Linked DNA regions of Saccharomyces cerevisiae S288C. The gene in region 2 interacts genetically with the main gene of each other region. Each region holds a gene or a part of one and is shown on either strand. Other genes may lie near its edges.

Region 1 (5,927 bases), on a different chromosome or scaffold from region 2:
GCAATTTTGTTAATTGAGGCTGCCAAAACCCAGAATCGCTCGAATCTTTGGAGGCCTCATCTAACGTTATCAAATCCAAAACCGGTAAAATGTTATTGCAATCTTTCCCCTCTAAACAACACTTTACCAATTTAATATAATCAATCTCACAGTTGTTCACCGGAGCATTCCTTGCTTGCAAAAAATATAGTAAGGAGGATTTGATCTCTTCATATTCTTGGCTATCATCGACATGACCGTTATTGCTCAAATGCGACGATTTAACACTTGAATTCTTGATTTCAGAATCTAACAAGTAATGATCTGGAGAATTTTGTACTAATAGCTTTATTATCGGAATATCCTTATTGGCATTATTCCTCAGTACCTGCAAAGCGGGCAATTCAACTTCCAACATTGGATCAAAACTAATTATCATATCTATATCATAGTTAGCCAATAGGTATTGATCGTGTTTGAGATGTTTGGTAGTGGCTAAAAACAGCCAGTCATCCGTATTTATTTTTCTTTTTTTCAGGTTTCTTTTCACTGAGTAATCATAGTCGTCCTTAGAATAACCTGTATAAGAGGTCGAATTGGAATTAGAGCTTGTGCTGCTTACAGAATTTGGTGTTCCATCTTTATTTATTGTGGAATCGACCGTAGGTAGATTAGGGAATTTGTGTTTCTCATTATAAAGAGATGTACCGGAAAGTCTCTTGGTTCTGAATTTCTTGCCTAATATTAAACCTTCTAGCAAATCTAATTCCTTTATGCTGTGTGCGATGATGGCACATTTTATAACTTCGTTTGGTGAGCCCTCTCTGTCTCTAAAGCATATCGAATTAATGAGCTGGTTGAGAACTTGAAACTTGTGGCTCCCAGCAATAGAGCTTTCCGTGGGCTCCATTCTCAAAAGCTGTCGAGGCATATAATGGTCCACTAGAAGGGAAGGATGATTGGCTATTGCTCTTATGTTTGAATCAAAGATATAGGTTAATTGCCTTTGTGATAGCGTTGGATACGGATGTGTTTCAGGGCCAGCAGGTAAGCCGGAAGGCTTGTTCACTGCATCTGCCTGTGGTTCTCCTATTATGCTTGCTTTGAATGACTTGGCGTGCAGGGATATCAAAATTTCTGATAAATCCTTTTGAAATTGGGTTAGCGTTACAGGTAAGTAATAGACTTTTAGTTTCTTAGAATTTTTCCTACTCATGTCGATAGTATTGTATCTATTTTCTTTATTTTTCACACACTAATGAAGCCAAATACTTTTACTACTACTTAAACGCCTTCAATCGTTCTCAATTCTGTCTTTTTAAAAAAAAAAATTTTTTGTTACCTCTCCTTTCTCGATGTTCTACTAGTTGTGGTTACTCTTCTGTGCCGCAATTATGTTATTTTAGTAGGACTGTATTTTTTTTTTTTCTTTTGTTGTCGCTTTTCTTATATATCTATATAACTATTTATTTGGGCTGTAGAGAACTTTCTCAGGAAATATAAACTAGGAGACATTCGTGTAAGCAATGAACCATATACGCCACGGTTAAATTTCAGACGTGCATAAAGTTGATGATTCCTGTCAAGTTAACGACTCATTTTGTACGGTAGACGGGAAAAATACATTTCCTACAATATTCTCTTTTCCGATATTCAGATACTAAAGGAAAAAGTGAAAGTAAGGCTATATGATGAAATGTAGAGGAAACGGAAAGAGGAGATCCTGTGAGGAATAAATAGAGAAACAGCGACGGAAAAATCGATATTTCAGGGCAAAAGCATGAAGGTAAACCATTCAATTTCAAGATTCCGCCCCGCTTCATGGTTCGAAAAGACAAAGATAATCCCACCCCAGGTATACATCTTTAGGAACCTAGAGTATGGACAAGTACTATATTCTCAATTTCCCAACTTTTCGCAAACACAGGTGGATAAGCTGTTTGTGAGACCAAACTGGAGCAACAGAAAGCCATCATTGAGAAGGGACATCTGGAAATGTATGTGTGTAGTGAACTTGCAAAACTATAAGCAGAGTGTCCATCTATACCAGAACCTCTGCCGGTTGAGATACCTCCGTGATGTGGCACAGCGTAAGGAGAGTGACAAGCTAAGAAAAAAGGACTCTAACGGGCACGTCTGGTATAGCGGACAGTATAGACCTACATATTGTCAAGAGGCAGTGGCAGACTTGCGGGAGTCCTTGTTGAAGGTGTTTGAGAATGCCACACCAGCAGAAAAGCAGACAGTACCCGCCAAAAAACCGTCCATATACTGGGAGGACCCATGGAGGATGGGTGACAAGGACAAACATTGGAATTACGATGTGTTCAATGCTCTGGGGCTGGAACACAAGCTTATTCAGCGTGTGGGGAACATTGCGAGGGAAGAAAGCGTTATTCTGAAGGAACTAGCTAAGCTCGAATCACATCCTACAGAGCAGACGGAAGTGTCTTCCCAGTAGAACGCTTCGTCATTAGATATACAAATGCAGGTAGAAAAAAAAACATATATAAGCTCATGTAAATAGTGCAATGCAAACCTTTCTGCCAAATCCCGTTCCACGGAAAAACACGTGCTGTGCGGGTATCCGCAAAAAGAAGATAGGTCAAAACAGGAATACACAGGGCTAGTCTTTATTACTGCCGCTGCTGCTGCTGCCGCTGCTACTGCTGCTGTTGTGTGACTTGAAACGCGTTTTATCCTCCTCACCTTATCGTCATTTCTCTATCTTTTTCACTTGCACAGCTTAATAAGCTTTTCGACCTCCTGTTTCCTATTGTCTTATTCCCTCACCCCGCGTCCTTCTTCGGGCAGTCGCGCTTTTCTCCGGCTTCTGCGGTTTTTCTTAGTCTTTCCGCACCAATTTTCACAGAAAAATTTCTTTTTGGGTTACTAAAAATTTCTTGTTTGCTATTGTCTTGATTTATTTCACTCTTTCTTCATCCTGCTGCGCTGTTGTTGCCGCATTTTTCGTTTCGTGTTTTGGGATTATAAAAGAAGTAACGATTTACATATCTTCTATTCCCTTGCATTTACTCCGGGTCTTCGTCTTTACTGTTTGGTCTGGGTATTTCTAACATTCTAGTCCGAAGAGGGTGTATACGAAAAGAAAATATACGATGAACGTAACATCGAATGCAACTGCAGCCGGTTCCTTTCCACTAGCATTTGGTCTCAAGACCTCATTTGGGTTTATGCACTATGCCAAGGCCCCTGCCATTAATTTACGCCCCAAGGAATCCTTGCTGCCGGAAATGAGTGATGGTGTGCTGGCCTTGGTTGCGCCGGTTGTTGCCTACTGGGCGTTGTCTGGTATATTCCATGTAATAGACACTTTCCATCTGGCTGAGAAGTACAGAATTCATCCGAGCGAAGAGGTTGCCAAGAGGAACAAGGCGTCGAGAATGCATGTTTTCCTTGAAGTGATTCTACAACATATCATACAGACCATTGTTGGCCTTATCTTTATGCACTTCGAGCCGATCTACATGACTGGGTTTGAAGAAAATGCCATGTGGAAGCTTCGTGCAGACCTTCCTCGGATTATTCCAGATGCCGCTATTTATTACGGCTATATGTACGGAATGTCCGCTTTGAAGATCTTTGCAGGCTTTTTATTCGTTGATACATGGCAATACTTTTTGCATAGATTGATGCATATGAATAAGACCTTATACAAATGGTTCCACTCTGTTCATCATGAACTATACGTGCCATATGCTTACGGTGCTCTTTTCAACAATCCTGTTGAGGGCTTCTTGTTAGATACTTTGGGAACCGGTATTGCCATGACGTTAACTCATTTGACTCACAGAGAGCAAATCATTCTTTTTACCTTTGCCACCATGAAGACTGTCGATGACCACTGTGGGTATGCTTTGCCACTTGACCCATTCCAATGGCTTTTCCCTAATAACGCTGTCTATCACGATATCCACCACCAGCAATTTGGTATCAAGACGAACTTTGCTCAACCATTTTTCACTTTCTGGGACAATTTGTTCCAAACTAACTTTAAAGGGTTTGAAGAATATCAAAAGAAGCAAAGACGTGTCACCATCGACAAGTACAAAGAGTTTTTGCAAGAGAGAGAATTGGAAAAGAAGGAGAAACTCAAAAACTTCAAAGCTATGAATGCTGCTGAAAATGAAGTAAAGAAAGAGAAATAACCCTTTTGCATACCTCCCGTTCAATTGCTGGGTAAAGGCAATGTCTCCGACTTCCCACGTTTGTATTTATTATCCATTTATATACATCAAGACATATTATTAAGTGTATAGGCGTGACTTTGACTATATATTTGATTTGTAACGAAAGAATACATCAAAATTCAACTATGAAATGGTTATTATTGTGCATGCACATCTTGAATTATCAAAAAGGTCTTAAATGTTCTTCGGACTTTCTTGAAATCTTCGAAAACTGATGAGAATTCTTCATTATTTTTTTTTTTCTTCTTTTATTATTTTTTATGTTTATTCCATATATACACTTATAATTTTTTTTTTTGCGATTAATATAAGTTTGCCTGGATACACGAACATATATATGATTAAAATGGTTGTCTCGAACAAAAAAATTCACTTTTTAGAGGGGTTTCTTATTTATTCGTATATGTACGTAATTTTGATGTTTAGGAAAAATTCACGGAAAAGAATATATATTTGAACAGAATCAAAAATTAGGAGGGAGGCAAAGAAAGTAACATCAAACGAGTTGAGCATATCCAACTATATTATTAACGTTAAATGCTGTCCTCTAAGACCTTATTCAGTTTTTGAATCTTTGTAGAAATGCTTAAGTCAACAGTCTTGTCACCAAGTTCTACAATCAAACCACCCTTAATCTCTGGCTTAACCACGTTTTCCAGCTTCAAAGATTTACCTTGCCCCACCAATTTGGAGGCGCTCAAAGCTTTTTCAATCCTCTTGAAAGATTTAGGATCCAATGGTTCAGCACTAGTCACTGTACCTTTAAGTAACCCGTTGTGAGCATCGTTTAAAACGCCAAAGTCAGACGCAATTTTTTCAAAACATCCCAGTCTGTTATTTTCGGAAAGAACCTTCAATAGGTTAACGACATAACCATCCAAATTCTTGTGAGTCTCCACGATGGCATCAATGACAGAATTTCTGTCCTTCAATGACAATGCAGGATTCAGTAATAAGTGACCTAATTTTGGATTCTTTTTGACTGTGCTTTCAACTTTTTGCAAAGATTGAAAGGCAGCATCAATAGAGGAGTTCTTTGCAGCGGCCTGATATAAAGCTGTTGCGTAAGTGCCCTCAACACCGAACAATCTCACCGGTGGGGGAGCAGCAGCTTTGGAAGCAGCAGCTCTTAAGCTTGATGCAAATGACCTGGTAAAGACTCTATTAAACATGATTGTCCACGGTTTAAAAATAATGCGGTAACTTGCTAATCGGTTCTTACTCTGCGGAAAAATATCTCAATGCCACAGTAGCCTGCTTAAATTTCCAAGTTGACTGAATTTTGTTTTCAATGAGATAAAAACTAGAAATACTGTACACAAAGTTAACAATTGGCGTTTGAAATTGTTCCTAGATAATTGAAAGTTTTACTATCTCGCCAAAAGATCACTTCATTATCTTTAATTCCTTGTTTTTCCCACCCGGGCCCGGGTAAATGATATTTCAAATATCAGCATCTTATTGGCCAGCACCGTCTCTCGAAAGTGTCCACTTTATGACGACGGCATAAAATATAACGATTTATTGGACGTAAGTAGTTTTATAAGTTACTAAACCAAGATTATTCCGGCAAAAAAATGAACTTTAAGAGATATCTGAGCGCTTCGTATTTCTTGGTAGTCCCTTATAATGTACTACATTTATGTAGACCAGGTTTGCAGCCAGATCTTACGGGAAAGAGATTTTACGGCTCCCAGTCCGAGCTTTTCCATATACTACTCTAATATACAATGCATT
Region 2 (5,968 bases):
CTAAGTCATCATCAGCTGCTTCTTTAACTTCGTCAGTATCAGCTTTATCCTTATCACCCACATCAGCCATAAATATTAGCTCCAAAAGTTTGAGCCCAAAGTTCTCTCATCATAGTAACAGCAATACTGCTATTACACCCGCGCCTACTCCCACTGCTTCAAATATTAATAATGTAAATAAGATAACCAATACAAGTGCACCTATTTGTGGGAGGTTTCTTGTGCATAAAGATGGTACCCATGAACATCACTTAAAAAATGCTAAGAGACAAGAAAAGCTAAGCACAATGATTAAAAACATGGTTGGTGCGAGCAAATTACGTGGTGAGGCAAAATCTGCTGTCCCTGATATAATAATGGATCCAAAGACGACTTTAAAATCCAACAAGAATCCTCCTACTCTTTTTGCAGGCTTCATGAAGCAGGTCGTGGATATGGATGATAAATATCCAGAAGGCGCTCCCACAAGTGGCGCTTTAAATTGTCCTGAAAGGGATATATACAGGTCAGATCAAAAAGATTCCAAAAATAATACGCATAATATCACTACTACTAAAAAAGATAGGCAATGTTTTGCCGAAAAGTATGGTCGCTGTCAAGAAGTCCTTGGTAAAGGTGCTTTTGGTGTAGTAAGAATATGTCAAAAGAAAAATGTTTCTTCTCAAGATGGTAATAAAAGTGAAAAGCTTTATGCAGTGAAAGAGTTCAAGCGTAGAACATCCGAATCAGCAGAAAAGTATTCTAAGAGGTTGACTTCTGAATTTTGCATTTCTTCTTCATTACACCATACAAATATTGTTACTACACTAGATCTTTTCCAAGATGCCAAAGGCGAGTACTGTGAAGTAATGGAATATTGTGCAGGTGGCGATCTATTCACTTTGGTCGTTGCCGCCGGAAAATTAGAATATATGGAAGCAGATTGTTTCTTCAAGCAGCTTATTAGAGGTGTTGTTTATATGCATGAAATGGGTGTTTGTCATAGAGATTTGAAGCCTGAGAACTTACTGCTTACGCACGATGGTGTGCTAAAAATTACAGACTTTGGTAACAGCGAATGTTTCAAGATGGCATGGGAAAAAAATATTCACCTTAGTGGAGGCGTTTGCGGTTCATCGCCGTACATCGCCCCAGAGGAATATATCAAAGAAGAGTTTGATCCAAGACCCGTAGATATATGGGCATGTGGTGTCATTTATATGGCAATGAGAACTGGTAGACAATTGTGGAGTTCTGCTGAAAAAGACGATCCATTTTATATGAATTATTTAAAAGGACGTAAGGAAAAGGGAGGCTATGAGCCAATCGAAAGTTTAAAAAGAGCCAGGTGTAGGAATGTTATATATTCGATGTTAGATCCCGTTCCGTACAGAAGAATTAACGGGAAACAAATTTTGAACAGTGAATGGGGAAGGGAGATAAAATGCTGCCATAATGGGCGCGCATTGAAATAAACGAGTACTTCACTTTCAAATATCACGATATTTTGGAACAATTCGGTATTTTTTACTTAATCTAGTACACTAAGGAATGCTTTGTTATCCGGCATTCGTATCTTATTCCTCGCTTCTATTGTTCTACTTTTATATCCCGTTTGGCTGATTACGGATCACGTTCAAATTGGTAAATCCCATTAATTAAAAAAGAATTGTAACCTTATTTAAAAAAAAAAATAGTACATAACAATAAAAAAAAAAAAGATAATAATTTTGAATTTATTGCTAGACATTCTTACGTTTATTGTGTTCATGTTAACAAAAACACATGCCCGCGGTTATTATCGCTTTTTAATTGCTTTCTTAAAAAGAGTCGGTTGGTCAGATAGAGCAGATAGTAAATTATAGTGCTATTTAGGTCTGTTAATTTAAATGAAAGAAACATAAATGACCGTAAAAAACTAAAGGCAAAAGCATTAATTTATTTTATCCCGAGCGCACAAATATCTAGGCTTGTCATTTGTCCTAATAGTTCTTCGATTTTAGTGTCTAATAACCCATTGGCATAGTCGTCTCTTGATTGTTGGTCCAAATATTGTTGAATCTGCGCTAAACGAGTGTAACCATCAGTACAGAACCTTAGCTGAATCTTGATTAAAGCTTCAAAACTTGGGTCAAAGTAAGGTACTCTTAATGAAACTAACTGTGGTAGTTCAGTTTTCAATTGGTTATTAAGATTTTCGAAAATATCTTTAGCTAAGCTCAATTCTTTTTCAGCCCTTGGCAGTTTAGAGGCATCTTTAGCAGGTTTGTCCACTAATCTACGAACTTTTGCCTTCGCAGCATCGAAGTCTTGTTTCTTATGGTCTCTCTTTTTTATGGCCTCCTCAATTTCTTTGAAATACGTCGAAAACTTTGTTATTGGATCTAGTACGGTTTCTCTTAAGGGCCCGTCTAATTGCTTAACAGTTTCGCTATCAAAATCTTGAACACATTGCAAATAATAGTTACCAACGTTGTAACCACCACCAGCAACATATTTTGAATCGTCATAGAGGTTAGAGATGACCTCGGCAATGGTAGTCTGTGATGCTGTCACAGCTCTCAATGAGTCCAAGAAACCTTTGGCTTCCTTTTGTAATGCCTCACCTGCTCTTTGAAGAACTTTATAACGACGTTCTTCCATGTCATACTCTTTATCAATGGTCTTGTCGACATTCTTAATTATCACACTGTGACCAGCTCTGTTGATAGCTTTCTTAAAACCTTCCCAACTCATCTTGTATCAGCTTTCTTCTGGCTTCTTATAATAGGATTTGTATAGTTTTCTATATCACAGCGTTTCCTTTTCTTCTCTCACGTCTGCCTGTTATTAAATTTGTTTTCCCTTTCTTTTAATTCGGATTCTCATAATTGTTCAAAATCCGCGCATTTGGATCGTCCAGCCCCTGCAGCGCCCAGTTCAGCCAACAAAAATTCATAGGGACGTAAAGGAAACGTTTCATGTCTGTTACAATGAAAAAGACAAGTCGAATCACATTATGAATGGCAAACGATAGACCTTTCGTTGCCTTTCAATTACATGATATTCGTGGCAACATCTTCTCCGCTAACCTAAAAGTTTTATCAGAAACATATATCTTATTTTTTCTGAAGTAAAATCAAAGTGCAGGGAAGACAAGTAAAGGAGTCAGCAAAAAAGTGAAGTAAACTTATATGTTAACTGTTTATAACCGTACCTTGCTTACATCATCTATATTTTCGTAATCATTTTTGTACATTGTTTATATCTTGTTTTGAAGTTTTAGCTTTGAAAAACATTTAATTGCGAAGTAACATAATGTTATTAATAGTGTACGACTGAAACAGCCATTCTATTTAAACATATAAAAGTACGATTAGTTGGTGTGGTTATATAAGTCATAAAATAATTATCATATTAAAAAATTGAAAAATAAAAAACTACTCTTTTTTATTTCAATAGTTCTCGTTATTAGTAGGTCGTGCTCTTAAAAGATTACCCTTTCAGTAGATGGTAATGGGAATGGACGAGCCAGTACATATGAATTCTGCTTTGTAGCAACACCTGCATATGCGTTGTACCAAGCAATGAAAGCAACAACAACTCCCAGGACACCACCAGCTCTTGTGACACCAAGTCTATTAGCAAAGTGACCAATAGACAACAGTAGGAAAGTTAATGCTAGTAAGAAGAACAACAAAAAGAACATAACAGTGGATTTCATGGTACAAACGGTTAAACCAAACGTAAAGATGGCCCACCCCAACAAATAAAATCCTAAAGCATTATTCAAATCAGATTCATTGTCTTCGTAAGCTTCCAAGATACCAAACCAAGGAATGTAAATTGCAGCGAAACTCAACCAAAACCCACCGTAAGAACATAATGCGGTACCACCAAAAGTATTTTCCAAAGCTATCTCCCAAATACCAGCAATCAATTGCACCAAACCACCATAAAACATAGCACAACCGACGACAACATTAGGAACAGTGATCCCTTGCGCTCTCGCATTGAACATGGACAGCACAAATGTCGTCAACGCGAAGGCTGAAAGACCTAAGGGCGCAGGATTAGCAAATTTGTGCACTGGAGCAGGAGCTAACCCTGGATTCAAGGTACCACCAAAGGCTTGGTATAAGTCGCTCTTCAAAAACTTTTGACGCCCAATATAGATATATTCATTGTTATCACCTCCAGTGTAAATCTTGCCCAACGAATCATGAGATGGACGTTCATCTTCTGCAACGCCATTAACGTCGTTATCATGGGAACTATAGTATCCTGCTGGTGCATTCTCCAAATCTGTGTTTCCGCTCGTTTGTTCCTTGTCAGACATATTATTTGTTTGTATATGAGTTGTTTTGTGGTTGTTTAGTTATATCTGTGTTAGCTGTCGACTATTTGCCTTTTTCTTATAAACAGATGCTAGTAGTTTCTGTTGTATTGTTATTGCTATTGGACGATATATAAAATGAACCTATAGCAAGATCTCAGGGAAATACGATCCAACCAAGGTGCTTTATATACAGCTTGGTGTCTCTGACAGGTTGGAGTACAGAGGAGAAGGCGCCATAGCCGCCCAACCCGCGATAACGAAAAAAAGCTGTAAGAAAATGCAGTCTTCCCCAACGTTTGTTACCCCAACAATACCGAAATAGCCGCCCAACCGCAAATCTGGCAAAAAATCTTTTCGTATCTCGCTGCAGATGACCTTCCAACCCGCCCCTTTTTGTAGTCACGCCTTTAAGGGCCCTTGTTTGGCTTGCTCACATGGGGCTACACGTAAAAACCGTAGCTTGGAGAACCACTCAGCCGCTCGCCTATTCCACGGAGCTCCGGATCAACGGGCAGTGGACCCTCTCGAAAATAAGGAAAGTTGCGGGGCCAAAAATTATTATTTCTTATGTAAAAGAAGAGACTATATACGACGCCTATCTACTTTTGTTCCACAACTATCCACTTAAGGGCTAGATACCCCATTATTAAAAACACCACATTAAACAGAGCCAGGATCTTGATGTCAAATACAAGGTTTTGGACAACAAATCCAAATGTGCTCAAGATAGTAGCGCCTGGAACTTCAATATTTAAGCCGTACTTTCTCTCTTTCAGCATCAATGTTTTGACCTCATTGATCAATAAAGATTCGTAGGCGTAGTAAAACACAGAGAAGTTTTTCAGGTACTTGAAGGCCACGTTTGTAATATTCTTAGTATTGATAAATAGTCCGCTAAACAGTAGTGAGCCCAAAAGCACCAGCACGCTTAATATTATGGAGTTATTCAAGTCTTCAAAAATTATGCCGATGGTTAGGATTTCCAACGATATCCCAAGGTTAAACAGTATAAGGATTCCAATACATTTAAAAAAAGCATTGTCTTTCATGTTTAAACCAGTCATTGGGTAAACAATCAATGACAAGAGTATAGGTGGTACAACACGTAGCGGGACCACTTCGCTCATTATCTTACTAATGTAGTATGCAAGTGGCGAGTAATAGTTATTGGATCTTTCTTTTATGAAAATGATCCTTTCCAGAGCGAACGAGCTGAGACCTGTGAATGTAACAAAACCGAAGTACGTTAGTATAAAGAAGAACAGCCCCATTCTGTTCTGAAAACCGCTGATATCATTGGAGACGTTGTAATATAGTGTTCCCAAGAATAAACTCAATAGGATCGTCAGTAAATAATTACCCAATAATAGTTTAGGGTTTCTGTACATGTTTTTAAAACTTCTTGAATTCAATATCGATAACTGTTGCAGAAAACCAGCAGATTGTTGACCTGTGGGTAAATCTCCATTCAAAACGTTACTTTCCTCATCACCTTCGCTTAAAACTTCCTCGATCTCCTGTGAAAGCTCTGCATAATAGACGCTATCTTTATATTTATCGTGTAGTAGTTTGGTATTTAAGTCAATCTCAGTAGCACCTCGCCTTCCATCTGTTCCCTCTACATCTTCTTCATCTCTGAGTAAAGATCTGATCTCATCTCTATGAGCTGCA
Region 3 (4,869 bases), on a different chromosome or scaffold from region 2:
TCTCTATCGCAATGTGTATTTTCACATTTACTTATCGTTTACAAGTAGCTTCATCCATGGTAACGGATTGGATATTTGCCAGCACTTTTTCGTAGCCTAAATCTCATTCCTCGTTCATTTCCCTCCTCAAATCGATGATAGGTTTTCCGGATTTAACATACCTTCTTTTGGTCAATAATTTCGACGATAGCGGCCAATTTACCTGCGGATTGACCCTTCTTGATCAAAACCACACGGCCAACTTCGACTAATCTCCAGTTAGAAGCCTTGACAATAGAATCGGTGGACATTGTTTATTTTATTTTTCACGACTCTCTTTGTTCACTAAGACAAACAATTAAATTTGTTATACAATCGGCAGACCTGATCAACTTAACCTTAGATTACTTTTTTTTCAGTTCAATAGTACTCGACGAGTACGAAGGGCAGTCCACTGAAAGCTCTACGCTCTCTCCGTTGCCAATTGGGCTGAGAATGGAAACACTGCGCGCTGAAGGGAAACCCGATTATGGAAAAATGCACGCAGCTGCAAGCAGCAATCTCTCGTAAACCGCTCTTTTCCGGGCGGAAAGTTAGGCCGACACCTGTTTGAAGCTTCATAAAATGCAAAATCGAAAAAAAATTGATAACGGACACTCAAAATTTGATATTTCACACATATTATGTATGTGATGTCAAGATGTAAAAATAGTGTATGGGTGTATTTGCGCTGTCAATTATTTTACTCAGAGTATAGTTACATTCTGGCAAGAATTTGCTGGTTTTGTCTTTTTTTACTTCACAACTAATGCTGGATTTTTTTATTTAAACCTAATTTCTTCAGTGAACTCCAATGTGTATTCATGTTTGATTTTAAAAGCTTCAATTTTAAAAGCTTCAATTTTAAATATCCGATGACTGTTAATCGCAGCTGCTAGTGAGATGACTGACAAAAGGTTCAGTAGAAACATAAAATATATAACAAATGTGTTGAGAATGATAGTATGATACAGTGGTATCATATTTCGTTCCTATTTGAGGTACCAGTAGTTCTTATCAAGAAGATTCAATGAGAAAGGTAACTGAATGATGATATAATTTGCGATCTAGGGCTAATCACTTGGAACACCGCCATGTTCTATATGGGTGATTAGCGAAGTGCGAAAAATTTTTTATCTGATATTTTCCTTGAACAATATTTCTAATAACACTTGCGTTGTTGCAACTGGCAGATTAACCATGTTGCTCAATATTCCTTCCTTGTATATGGGAGAACATCTTGAGGCAATGTTTAGAATTTAAAAATGTGTGCTCCCTTAAACTACGCTACTCAGAAAGGATCTTCGTGTGTACGGTAACTGACCAATGAATATTGTGCGGTAAGTATCTTATGTTTCTTGTTGCTGAATGTACGGTTCATGCAGTAAATTAGCTACTCTAGTTTTCTTGTTATTGCAAGAAGCCGCGCATTGCTACATGCAGAAAAAAAAAGAGGAAATAATATAAGGTATATCATTAAGAAGGATACTGGAAGAACTCAACAAGGAGAGAACGGTAGAAAGGTAATATATAATCATCATAGCGATGTCAAATTCTAGGTATTCTCAGACCGAATCAAACGTATGTAAATCACCGGCAACACGCATAGGTGTTTAGAATGGGACCTAGCTTGCTATATGGATGTTATAAGCTACTAACTATTGCTTCTGTACACCGGATGAGCAGATGTATCATCCCTTCATGTACATGTACTTTAAACAGAATGATAGGAAACTAGAGGGGTTAGCCAATAAATTAGCTACATTCAGAAACATAAACCAAGAGATTGGAGACCGAGCGGTCTCTGACAGTTCTGTCATAAACCAAATGACAGATTCATTGGGATCGATGTTTACCGATATCAAAAATTCGTCCTCAAGGTTAACCCGATCATTAAAGGCTGGTAATAGCATATGGAGAATGGTGGGTTTGGCGTTATTAATATTCTTCATTCTATATACCCTGTTTAAGTTATTTTAGTGAGCCAATCAAGCCAAAAATAAATAATGTACATAGATGTATTCAATTTAAGAAATAGGAAGAGAATGGAATAAGGCAGGCATGAAATTTCATTTGCCTTCTGCCGCATTCTTACCCAATCTATAACTGCCAATCGCACTACCCCAGTTAATTTTGGATCTCGTGACTGGTAATCTTCTTCTTAAGGCCTTAAACTGTTTTTCGTTCAAGTCGAAAAATGAAAGATCTAGATCATTTTCGAAATTCGTCTCAATATCCCTTATTGTGCAAACAACGTCATCAACGTTAGATTGATTGATATCCTTCCCAGATTGGAAACTAACGTTACCGTCTTCGTAATAGTGGACTTGCGTAGAGATTTGACCGGATAACTCCCTGGTCTCCAAATCGTAGATGTAGCTTGATCTCCAATGGCCGTTCCAGAAATTGTTTGGATTATATTTGGTGCTAACAATAATAATAGAAATTTTACTTATTTCCTCAGGGACTGGGTAAACAGCAAAACTGACATCACCTGGAAAGCTCTGAAGAAGATATTCGTGCAATTTATCGTGCAGTTCTTTCAATTGCCCTTTCTCTATCTTTGCATGCGTGAACTCATATGGTTCAATGTCAAGGCCCTTGCGCTCTAAATGGTTAACTGAAAATATTACGGAATTTACGGGATCAAAAAACTTTGCTCCTTCCTTGTTGTATTTGGAAATAATTACAGAGTTCCCGTTGACTTCTATAGGGATGCAATTCTGCACGTTGTAATTCTCAATAGCATCCAAAATAGTATTTTTGGAGTTTTCACTTGTGATCTTGATTAGATCGTCGTATACTTCCCTTAATTCTCCTGGAGGGCTGTCATTGATGATCTTGTTGATGACCTCTTCGAATTTACTACTAGACATTTTCTGTCGCTCTTATGATCCGTTGGATTAACGGTCTGAATAGTACCTTACAGTTGCTAACACCTTCCTATACTCAAATCCAGTACTAGCCACTGTAAAATCAGTATTCCAATAGGAAGAAAAAGGGGATCATAACCCGGCTATCGTATCACATGATAGTCACGTGCAGTGATTATCACGTGATCCGAACTGTTGTGAAAAAACGCGACGCGAAAAAAAAAATGCTGGGCTTCAACAGGAAAAAGACCAGGAATGAAAAATAGTTGGAAAGGAAACAACTGTCTTTTCCGGTCATTCCAACAAAGTTGCTAGATCCGCGGAACCATTTTCGTCATTTTTTTTTTTTCACTCTTTTTTCTCATATCGGTGGGCATTGTACCTGATCATGCTAGACAAATAACGTGGGAGGAGGGAGAAAGTATTGGAATCTAGACAAAGATTTTTAAGTTATTTTTCTATTGTTTCCCTCCTTGGCTTGTTGCATCCCGTTTTGTTTTATTTACTTGCTTTTTTTTTTTCTTATTTATTTATTTATTTATTTATTGTTATTTGGCTATTGTATTCCGTGAACCCGTTTTTCTGCTACATCGGCTTTATAATCCGGACCTGATTTAAGTTAAAACTACAGTTTCTTGTTCGTTACCGTTTTTCTGTTCCATACAGATATTTTTGTCGGTTGATCGCTATTGTTTTTATTATTCATACCTCCGGTAAACATTTAGATAGACACAGTATCAATAAACAAGAGCTATGTCGACAATAAAGCCAAGCCCTTCAAACAACAATTTGAAAGTGAGGTCAAGACCAAGACGCAAGTCTTCCATAGGTAAGATCGACCTCGGGGACACTGTACCTAGTTTAGGTACTATGTTCGAGACAAAAGAATCTAAAACGGCTGCTAAAAGGCGTATGCAGAGATTATCTGAAGCCACCAAAAATGATAGCGACCTGGTCAAGAAAATCTGGTTTTCATTCCGAGAGATAAGTTACCGTCATGCCTGGATAGCTCCCTTGATGATTTTAATCGCGGTATATAGTGCCTATTTCACTTCTGGTAACACTACAAAGACAAATGTGTTACATAGATTTGTCGCTGTGTCATACCAAATAGGTGATACCAACGCATATGGTAAAGGTATTAACGATTTGTGCTTTGTATTTTACTATATGATTTTTTTCACATTCTTACGTGAATTCCTAATGGATGTTGTCATTAGACCGTTCGCTATTAGGTTACACGTCACTTCTAAGCACAGAATAAAAAGAATCATGGAACAAATGTACGCTATTTTCTACACCGGTGTTTCCGGTCCTTTCGGGATATATTGTATGTACCATTCGGATTTATGGTTTTTCAACACAAAGGCAATGTACAGAACATATCCAGATTTCACTAATCCCTTCTTATTCAAGGTATTCTATTTGGGTCAAGCTGCATTTTGGGCTCAACAAGCCTGCATTCTTGTATTGCAACTAGAAAAGCCAAGAAAAGATCATAACGAGTTGACTTTCCATCATATTGTTACTTTACTATTGATTTGGTCTTCCTACGTATTTCATTTCACTAAAATGGGACTGCCAATCTATATCACAATGGATGTTTCTGATTTTCTTTTGTCATTCTCCAAAACTCTAAATTATTTGGACTCTGGATTGGCTTTTTTTTCTTTTGCTATCTTTGTTGTTGCGTGGATTTATTTGCGTCATTACATAAATTTAAAGATCCTATGGTCCGTTTTAACGCAATTTCGCACGGAAGGTAACTATGTCTTGAATTTTGCCACTCAGCAATATAAATGTTGGATTTCCTTACCAATTGTCTTTGTATTGATAGGCGCTTTGCAATTAGTGAATCTTTATTGGCTGTTCCTTATTTTTAGAGTTCTTTACAGGATTCTATGGAGAGGTATTCTCAAGGATGACAGAAGTGATAGTGAATCAGACGAAGAAAGTGATGAAAGTTCCACTACTCCAA
Region 4 (8,604 bases), on a different chromosome or scaffold from region 2:
TGAAATTGCCACGAGCGGTAGACCGGGACCAGTCTTGGTCGATTTACCAAAGGATGTTACAGCAGCTATCTTAAGAAATCCAATTCCAACAAAAACAACTCTTCCATCAAACGCACTAAACCAATTAACCAGTCGCGCACAAGATGAATTTGTCATGCAAAGTATCAATAAAGCAGCAGATTTGATCAACTTGGCAAAGAAACCTGTCTTATACGTCGGTGCTGGTATTTTAAACCATGCAGATGGTCCAAGATTACTAAAAGAATTAAGTGACCGTGCTCAAATACCTGTCACCACTACTTTACAAGGTTTAGGTTCATTCGACCAAGAAGATCCAAAATCATTGGATATGCTTGGTATGCACGGTTGTGCTACTGCCAACCTGGCAGTGCAAAATGCCGACTTGATAATTGCAGTTGGTGCTAGATTCGACGACCGTGTCACTGGTAATATTTCTAAATTCGCTCCAGAAGCTCGTCGTGCAGCTGCCGAGGGTAGAGGTGGTATTATTCATTTCGAGGTTAGTCCAAAAAACATAAACAAGGTTGTTCAAACTCAAATAGCAGTGGAAGGTGATGCTACGACCAATCTGGGCAAAATGATGTCAAAGATTTTCCCAGTTAAGGAGAGGTCTGAATGGTTTGCTCAAATAAATAAATGGAAGAAGGAATACCCATACGCTTATATGGAGGAGACTCCAGGATCTAAAATTAAACCACAGACGGTTATAAAGAAACTATCCAAGGTTGCCAACGACACAGGAAGACATGTCATTGTTACAACGGGTGTGGGGCAACATCAAATGTGGGCTGCTCAACACTGGACATGGAGAAATCCACATACTTTCATCACATCAGGTGGTTTAGGTACGATGGGTTACGGTCTCCCTGCCGCCATCGGTGCTCAAGTTGCAAAGCCAGAATCTTTGGTTATTGACATTGATGGTGACGCATCCTTTAACATGACTCTAACGGAATTGAGTTCTGCCGTTCAAGCTGGTACTCCAGTGAAGATTTTGATTTTGAACAATGAAGAGCAAGGTATGGTTACTCAATGGCAATCCCTGTTCTACGAACATCGTTATTCCCACACACATCAATTGAACCCTGATTTCATAAAACTAGCGGAGGCTATGGGTTTAAAAGGTTTAAGAGTCAAGAAGCAAGAGGAATTGGACGCTAAGTTGAAAGAATTCGTTTCTACCAAGGGCCCAGTTTTGCTTGAAGTGGAAGTTGATAAAAAAGTTCCTGTTTTGCCAATGGTGGCAGGTGGTAGCGGTCTAGACGAGTTCATAAATTTTGACCCAGAAGTTGAAAGACAACAGACTGAATTACGTCATAAGCGTACAGGCGGTAAGCACTGAATTTCAAAAACATTTATTTCAAAAGCATTTTCAGTAAAAAATGCAGACTTTATTATTATTTAATCGTGCTTCTTATATATGACATTCTACCAAATCGGTAGTCATGTATATTTTTTTCGTATATACTTTATATATTTTTTTCTAAAAAACTAATGACGGCTAAAATTAAGTCATAGATGAATAATAAGTTCAATTCAAGTGAGTTGGTAGTATTTGATAAATCTAAAGTGGATACGTAGCATATGTATTCAAATGGTGTGTTTTAACTCGTCGGACACGACTTCTTTCTCGTTTTGTCAATCATCAAAAATATTTCTCGAAAAGGGGCCGTCAAAAATTGCAAGCTTGGAAAATACAAACTGGACTATGTATTTAAAGGTTATAGTTTATAATAAAGCATAAGAACAGTGGCCAATACGAATTTAACCGCTTTATAGAAATGGCTATCTTAAAAAGAGGAGCTAGAAAAAAGGTACATCAGGAGCCAGCTAAACGCTCTGCGAATATCAAGAAAGCTACTTTTGATTCCTCGAAGAAGAAAGAAGTTGGTGTGTCTGATCTGACGCTTCTTTCTAAAATCTCCGACGAAGCCATAAATGAAAACTTGAAGAAGAGATTTTTGAATGCTACAATCTACACTTATATAGGTCATGTGTTAATTAGTGTCAATCCATTCCGAGACCTCGGAATCTATACTGATGCTGTTATGAATGAATACAAAGGTAAGAATAGATTGGAAGTTCCACCCCATGTATTTGCAATTGCAGAGTCTATGTACTACAACATGAAATCATATAATGAAAATCAGTGTGTTATTATTTCAGGTGAATCAGGTGCCGGTAAAACTGAAGCAGCTAAAAGAATTATGCAATATATTGCGGCTGCTTCTAGCACACATACGGAGTCAATTGGAAAGATTAAAGACATGGTTTTAGCCACTAATCCATTGTTGGAATCTTTTGGCTGTGCAAAGACTCTAAGAAATAACAACTCTTCTAGACATGGGAAATATCTAGAAATAAAATTCAATAACCAGTTTGAACCATGTGCTGGTAATATCACAAACTATTTATTGGAGAAGCAGAGAGTTGTGAGTCAAATTAAGAATGAAAGAAATTTCCATATATTCTATCAGTTCACGAAAGGTGCTTCCGATGCTTATAGGCAAACATTTGGGGTCCAAAAACCGGAACAATATGTGTACACAGCTGCTGCGGGTTGCATATCTGCTGAGACAATTGATGATTTGCAAGATTATCAAGAGACATTAAAAGCTATGAGAGTTATTGGTCTCGGTCAAGAAGAACAAGACCAAATTTTCAGGATGTTAGCTGCAATTCTTTGGATTGGTAATGTTTCCTTTATAGAAAATGAGGAGGGGAATGCGCAAGTTAGGGACACCTCAGTAACCGATTTTGTTGCTTACTTGTTACAAATAGATAGCCAATTGCTGATTAAATCACTTGTGGAAAGAATTATGGAAACCAATCATGGTATGAAAAGAGGGTCAGTGTATCATGTTCCATTGAATATTGTCCAAGCAGATGCGGTTAGAGATGCTTTGGCAAAGGCTATTTACAATAACTTATTTGACTGGATTGTGAGTAGGGTTAACAAATCTCTGCAGGCTTTTCCAGGCGCTGAAAAATCCATTGGTATTCTTGATATTTACGGCTTTGAAATTTTTGAACATAACTCTTTTGAGCAGATTTGTATCAATTATGTTAATGAAAAGTTACAACAAATCTTTATTCAATTGACATTGAAATCTGAGCAAGAAACTTACGAGAGAGAAAAAATCCAATGGACCCCAATTAAATACTTTGATAACAAGGTTGTGTGTGATTTGATTGAGGCAAGAAGACCACCTGGTATATTTGCAGCAATGAATGATTCTGTTGCAACTGCACACGCGGATTCAAATGCTGCTGATCAGGCTTTTGCTCAGCGTTTGAACTTGTTCACAACAAATCCACATTTTGACTTGAGATCTAACAAGTTTGTTATTAAGCATTATGCCGGTGATGTCACATACGATATTGACGGTATTACAGATAAAAATAAGGATCAATTACAAAAGGATCTGGTAGAATTAATTGGTACCACTACCAATACATTTTTAGCCACCATTTTCCCGGATACTGTAGACAGAGAATCAAAAAGAAGGCCACCTACAGCAGGCGACAAAATTATAAAGAGTGCAAATGATTTGGTTGAAACTTTATCAAAAGCACAACCTTCATATATCAGAACAATTAAACCAAACGAAACCAAATCTCCTAACGATTATGACGATCGGCAAGTTCTACACCAGATTAAGTATCTAGGTCTGCAAGAAAACGTGCGTATCAGAAGAGCAGGTTTTGCATATAGACAAGTGTTTGAGAAGTTCGTGGAAAGATTTTATTTATTATCTCCACACTGTTCTTACGCTGGTGACTATACATGGCAAGGTGATACCTTAGATGCTGTTAAGTATATATTGCAAGATTCCTCTATCCCACAGCAGGAGTACCAATTGGGTGTCACAAGTGTTTTCATCAAAACACCTGAAACATTATTTGCTTTGGAGCATATGAGAGATAGATACTGGCACAATATGGCTGCCAGAATCCAACGTGCTTGGAGGAGATTTTTGCAAAGAAGAATTGATGCGGCCACTAAGATCCAGCGCACCATCAGGGAGAGGAAGGAAGGTAATAAGTATGAGAAGCTCCGGGATTATGGTACGAAGGTTTTGGGTGGAAGAAAAGAAAGAAGGTCTATGTCCTTATTAGGTTACAGAGCCTTCATGGGTGATTATCTATCATGCAACGAGTCCAAATCGAAGGGCGCTTATATCAAAAGACAAGTGAGCATTAAAGAGAAGGTCATCTTTTCCATACATGGTGAGGCCTTGCATACAAAATTTGGCCGTTCTGCACAAAGATTGAAAAAAACTTTCCTATTAACTCCAACTACATTGTACATTGTTGGTCAGACTTTGGTCCAAAATGCTATGACCTATACTCAGGATTATAAAATCGATGTGCGAAACATTCAAGCGGTTAGTTTAACCAATTTACAGGATGATTGGGTCGCCATTAAGTTGGCTAGCTCAGGTCAACCTGACCCCTTAATCAACACATATTTCAAAACAGAACTCATAACGCATCTGAAAAGGCTTAACGACAAAATTCAAATTAAAATAGGCTCGGCGATAGAGTACCAAAAGAAACCTGGAAAGTTGCATTCAGTGAAATGTCAAATCAATGAATCTGCACCAAAATATGGCGACATATATAAATCCAGTACAATATCAGTTCGTCGTGGTAACCCACCTAATTCTCAAGTGCACAAAAAACCGAGAAAAAAGAGTTCAATCTCTTCAGGATATCATGCTAGTTCCTCGCAAGCAACGAGGAGGCCAGTTTCGATTGCTGCAGCCCAGCATGTTCCCACCGCCCCGGCTTCTAGGCATTCTAAAAAGCCTGCCCCTCCACCACCAGGAATGCAGAACAAAGCTGCTACAAGAAGATCTGTTCCTAATCCTGCTTCCACTCTCACTGCATCCCAAAGTAATGCCCGTCCTTCTCCCCCTACTGCTGCCACTCGTGCTACACCCGCTGCTACACCCGCTGCTGCCGCAATGGGCTCTGGTAGACAGGCAAATATCCCTCCACCACCTCCTCCACCCCCACCCTCTTCAAAGCCAAAAGAACCCATGTTTGAAGCGGCTTACGATTTTCCTGGTTCAGGATCACCATCTGAGTTACCTTTAAAGAAAGGAGACGTAATTTACATTACAAGAGAAGAACCAAGCGGTTGGTCTCTCGGGAAACTTCTGGATGGCTCTAAGGAAGGTTGGGTGCCAACAGCTTACATGAAACCACATTCCGGAAATAATAATATCCCTACTCCTCCTCAAAACAGGGATGTTCCTAAACCCGTTCTGAATTCTGTACAACATGATAACACCTCTGCAAACGTTATTCCAGCTGCAGCCCAAGCAAGTTTGGGTGATGGTTTGGCGAATGCGCTTGCTGCTAGGGCCAATAAAATGAGATTAGAGAGTGATGACGAGGAGGCTAACGAAGATGAAGAGGAAGATGATTGGTAATCAAAATGTATTTAGCGAGTATATACTCTATACGAGCAAATAGAGTAAATTGTAATTAATAAATATTGATATATTATCGCCCATATGAAATTTTTAAACGAAAGGTTACTTATACATCAAATAATTAATTAACCTTAAACATTACGTTCAGGAAGAACAATGAGCGTAAATGGTACTAATTAAAATAACGGCGGCAGATAATGAAAAATATTGGCGTAACCCCCACTTGTTATTGCCATTTCTGTCAAACCAAGGTTTTCTTTCCATCGCAAAACGGACGAGCTTTTCCTTTTGTGCGCTATTTGGAGGGTATCTCATAAAAAGGGTAAAATCATTCCAATATGGTTGTTTAAAAATTGTTCTTTCATGACTAAAGGTATTGAATCCATAATATCCACCATAGTTACCATAACCTGAAGTACCGATCCCTCCAAATGGAGCGTCGGTAATTCCTACATGAATCACTGTATCACCGACAACACAGTCACCAGATCTTAAGCGCGTCAAGATACGATTTATTTCAGTTTGGCTATCAGAGAATATGTATTGCACCAATGGAGTGTCATGTTCTTCTATTATCTTGTTAATGGTCTCATCAAGATCCTCGTACTCAATGATGGGCAATACAGGAGCAAAGTTTTCCTGTTTCATCAAAGGATCATCCCAACCAATGTTATAAACTATGGTTGGTGGTACAAGGCATAGATCCTCAGTATCTGAATTGATAGAAATTTTTGAAGGCACAATCTTGGAGCCGTTAGTTGAGTTTATACTTGCAACGGCCTTTTTGTAAGCAGGCTCATGAATCATACGAGTGAAATCTGTTTGTTCATCAAAGCTTGGATAAAATTCATTTAGTACTGATTCACACTCTTTAATGACTTTTGGATAGATAGATTTATGTACTAACAAATAATCTGGTGAAACACAAATCTGGCCAGAATTTCCGAAAGCACCAAAAAAAATCCTTTTCAAAGCAATTTTTATGTTACTTGCTTTGAAATTTTCTGTAATAAAGGTAGGTGATTTACCACCAAGTTCAAGTACACAAGGTGTTAGACTTTTTGCTGCTTTCTCAGCAACTATTGATCCGACACGGGGAGAACCTGTGTAGAATATTAGGTCAAATTTTCCACAATCTAGTAGTCTTGTAGTTTCATCTATAGCTCCCTGAACTACTTGAATCAATCCATCAGGGAAACCAGCTGTGGTTAACAAATTTTCCATAACTACAGCAGTGTGTGGTGTTAGTTCACTTGGCTTCAGAACAATGGTGTTACCTGCAGCAAGAGCTGCTGCCAATGGGGCAAATGCTAAAAGTAGGGGAAAATTGAAAGGAGCAATAATCAAGACACTGCCCCTTGATATTTTCTCCACGATTGTTTTACCAAACATAAATGGAGGAGAAGAATCAGATACTCTCCGAGGTTTGATCAATTTTGGTAAAATCTCAATTAGGTGAAGTATATCGTTCATAAGTTTGGTCGTTTCATTCAGAACCGATTCAATTTTGTTCCGATGAAAGTCCTTGTACATAGCATCGATCAGTTCTTCCTCATGATCTTTGACGGCATAATAGAGTTTTTTCAACTGCAACTGCCTGAATTCTAGATCTTTTTTCCTTGGGTTATTTTCGTGGGACAATTTCAATTGTTTCTCAAAGAAGAAATTTCTTGAGATTTCAACTATTTCATCTATTTTAGACACTGGGGTATAATTCAATATTTTTGAGCCGTCGTTTGACATGTTGGTGATAAATTACTATGGCTATGGTTTTAGAATATTCCTTTTAGATAATCAATATGCCTGAAGTTTTGTTTTTTATATATGGAGTATCCGTTTATCCCTAAAATCCGAAGAATCTCCTCCTAAAACGACAAAAAAAAGGGTAAGCAATCCACCATCTAATTAAATCACTAATATTAGATTGAATTTTCGAACCTATCTAAAAGTGGGATCTTGATGTAAAATTGACTGATAGATAAAAGGCTTGGAGTCGATAGTTGATATATCAGTACACCGGTAATTGTCTATTATATACCCTGTTGGCATGAAATCCATATAGGACGGTATATATTTATATATAAAATGCATGTAAAAATCTTTCATCATGAACTACTCGGAATTTTTGGCTGGAAATTCGTTGTTCCATTTCCTCTAAGTGTCTTGATCATGTTCTGGTGTGCCTGTACTGGAATTTGGTATACTATGTGGCTGCTGTAATGATAATCTAGCTTCTCTCTCTTCTAACAAGAAAATTCTTCTTGGCTTCCCTCTTCTCTTTAGAGTAAGTGAATAGTCTTCGAGTTTGTCCATTTTTTTGGAGAAGTATTCGTATAACTGGGACATTGATAATCGGCAATGATGTCCTTTGAAGGTATTGTTTCCCAATCTTATATTTTCGACAACCTTGATGGCTTGGTTTCTACTTATTTTATTCTCAGGTAGCGACAAACCATATTTGCTTGGATCATCTTTTATATCTATTATTCTTTTTATGATGGTCATTCTTTTAGTGAACAAAGTCCTTTCTTTGGCAGATCGCCTCCAAGTGGACCCATATCTCCTCTCAAGGGAAAGAACTGACGGTTGGCCCGGTAAGCCTTCAAAGTATTCACGGGCCGCATCTGTAACGTTCTGGATTGCACGATTTAGTTTATATGACGTTCCAACGCACCCTCTTCTGTTTCTGATATCATTCTCGTTTCCTGTTCCATCGAGTTGGTTATTACTGTCATCAGCATTGCTAACAGAATCGGGGTTATTTAAAGGTAGGTTCCTGGTGGTAGCGTTCTCATCACTTTCATTACCATCGTATTCCCCATTTTCAAAGTCTGACAGCCCTGGCTCAGGCTTGATACGAGGATCGCCGGCTAATATGCTTGCGTGCATACTATATTCTTGCCAGTTTGTTGATCTTGACTGACTTTGATGAGCTTGCGTACTTGTTGATGGATTTCCAACACGAGCAGCTTCCTGAGGAGTAACATTTTCCCCAGTATGGTCTATAAATCTTATTCTCTCCCCAGTCATAATACCAACTACCTCTTTGAAGACTTCTTTCATTGCGGAAACATCTTCAACATACTTATTGATGTCTTTAAATCCTTTCTCCAACTTCTTTTGATTCTCTAGAAAGAAG

Evidence for each region.
Region 1: mutations in RVS161 (region 2) and SUR2 together harm fitness less than expected from each alone (positive genetic interaction), as found in Saccharomyces cerevisiae (5 studies listed by BioGRID, with this or other methods).
Region 3: mutations in RVS161 (region 2) and CAP1 are lethal when combined (synthetic lethality), as found in Saccharomyces cerevisiae (5 studies listed by BioGRID, with this or other methods).
Region 4: mutations in RVS161 (region 2) and MYO5 together harm fitness more than expected from each alone (negative genetic interaction), as found in Saccharomyces cerevisiae (5 studies listed by BioGRID, with this or other methods).

Annotation. Positions count from the first base shown.
Region 1 is NC_001136.10:1,053,453-1,059,379, forward strand, and holds SUR2 (sphingosine hydroxylase), read left to right. Parts: upstream 1-3,098; coding exon 3,099-4,148; downstream 4,149-5,927. Other genes in the region: HDA2 (Hda2p), read right to left, coding at 1-1,195; mitochondrial 54S ribosomal protein mL67 MHR1, read left to right, coding at 1,760-2,440; ATP5 (F1F0 ATP synthase subunit 5), read right to left, coding at 4,724-5,362. UniProt on the Saccharomyces cerevisiae protein: Required for hydroxylation of C-4 in the sphingoid moiety of ceramide. Catalyzes the conversion of sphinganine to phytosphingosine in sphingolipid biosynthesis. Involved in the response to syringomycin.
Region 2 is NC_001135.5:128,828-134,795, forward strand, and holds RVS161 (amphiphysin-like protein RVS161), read right to left. Parts: upstream 2,716-5,968; coding exon 1,918-2,715; downstream 1-1,917. Other genes in the region: serine/threonine protein kinase SAT4, read left to right, coding at 1-1,454; ADY2 (Ady2p), read right to left, coding at 3,446-4,297; putative ATP-dependent permease ADP1, read right to left, coding at 4,897-5,968. UniProt on the Saccharomyces cerevisiae protein: Component of a cytoskeletal structure that is required for the formation of endocytic vesicles at the plasma membrane level.
Region 3 is NC_001143.9:427,327-432,195, reverse strand, and holds CAP1 (Cap1p), read right to left. Parts: upstream 2,895-4,869; coding exon 2,088-2,894; downstream 1-2,087. Other genes in the region: 60S ribosomal protein eL14 RPL14A, read right to left, coding at 162-290; SFT1 (Sft1p), read left to right, coding at 1,564-1,599, 1,741-1,998; sphingosine N-acyltransferase LAC1, read left to right, coding at 3,645-4,869. UniProt on the Saccharomyces cerevisiae protein: F-actin-capping proteins bind in a Ca(2+)-independent manner to the fast growing ends of actin filaments (barbed end) thereby blocking the exchange of subunits at these ends.
Region 4 is NC_001145.3:484,785-493,388, forward strand, and holds MYO5 (myosin 5), read left to right. Parts: upstream 1-1,802; coding exon 1,803-5,462; downstream 5,463-8,604. Other genes in the region: ILV2 (acetolactate synthase catalytic subunit), read left to right, coding at 1-1,363; HFD1 (hexadecenal dehydrogenase), read right to left, coding at 5,610-7,208; EUC1 (Euc1p), read right to left, coding at 7,620-8,604. UniProt on the Saccharomyces cerevisiae protein: One of two redundant type-I myosins implicated in the organization of the actin cytoskeleton. Required for proper actin cytoskeleton polarization and for the internalization step in endocytosis.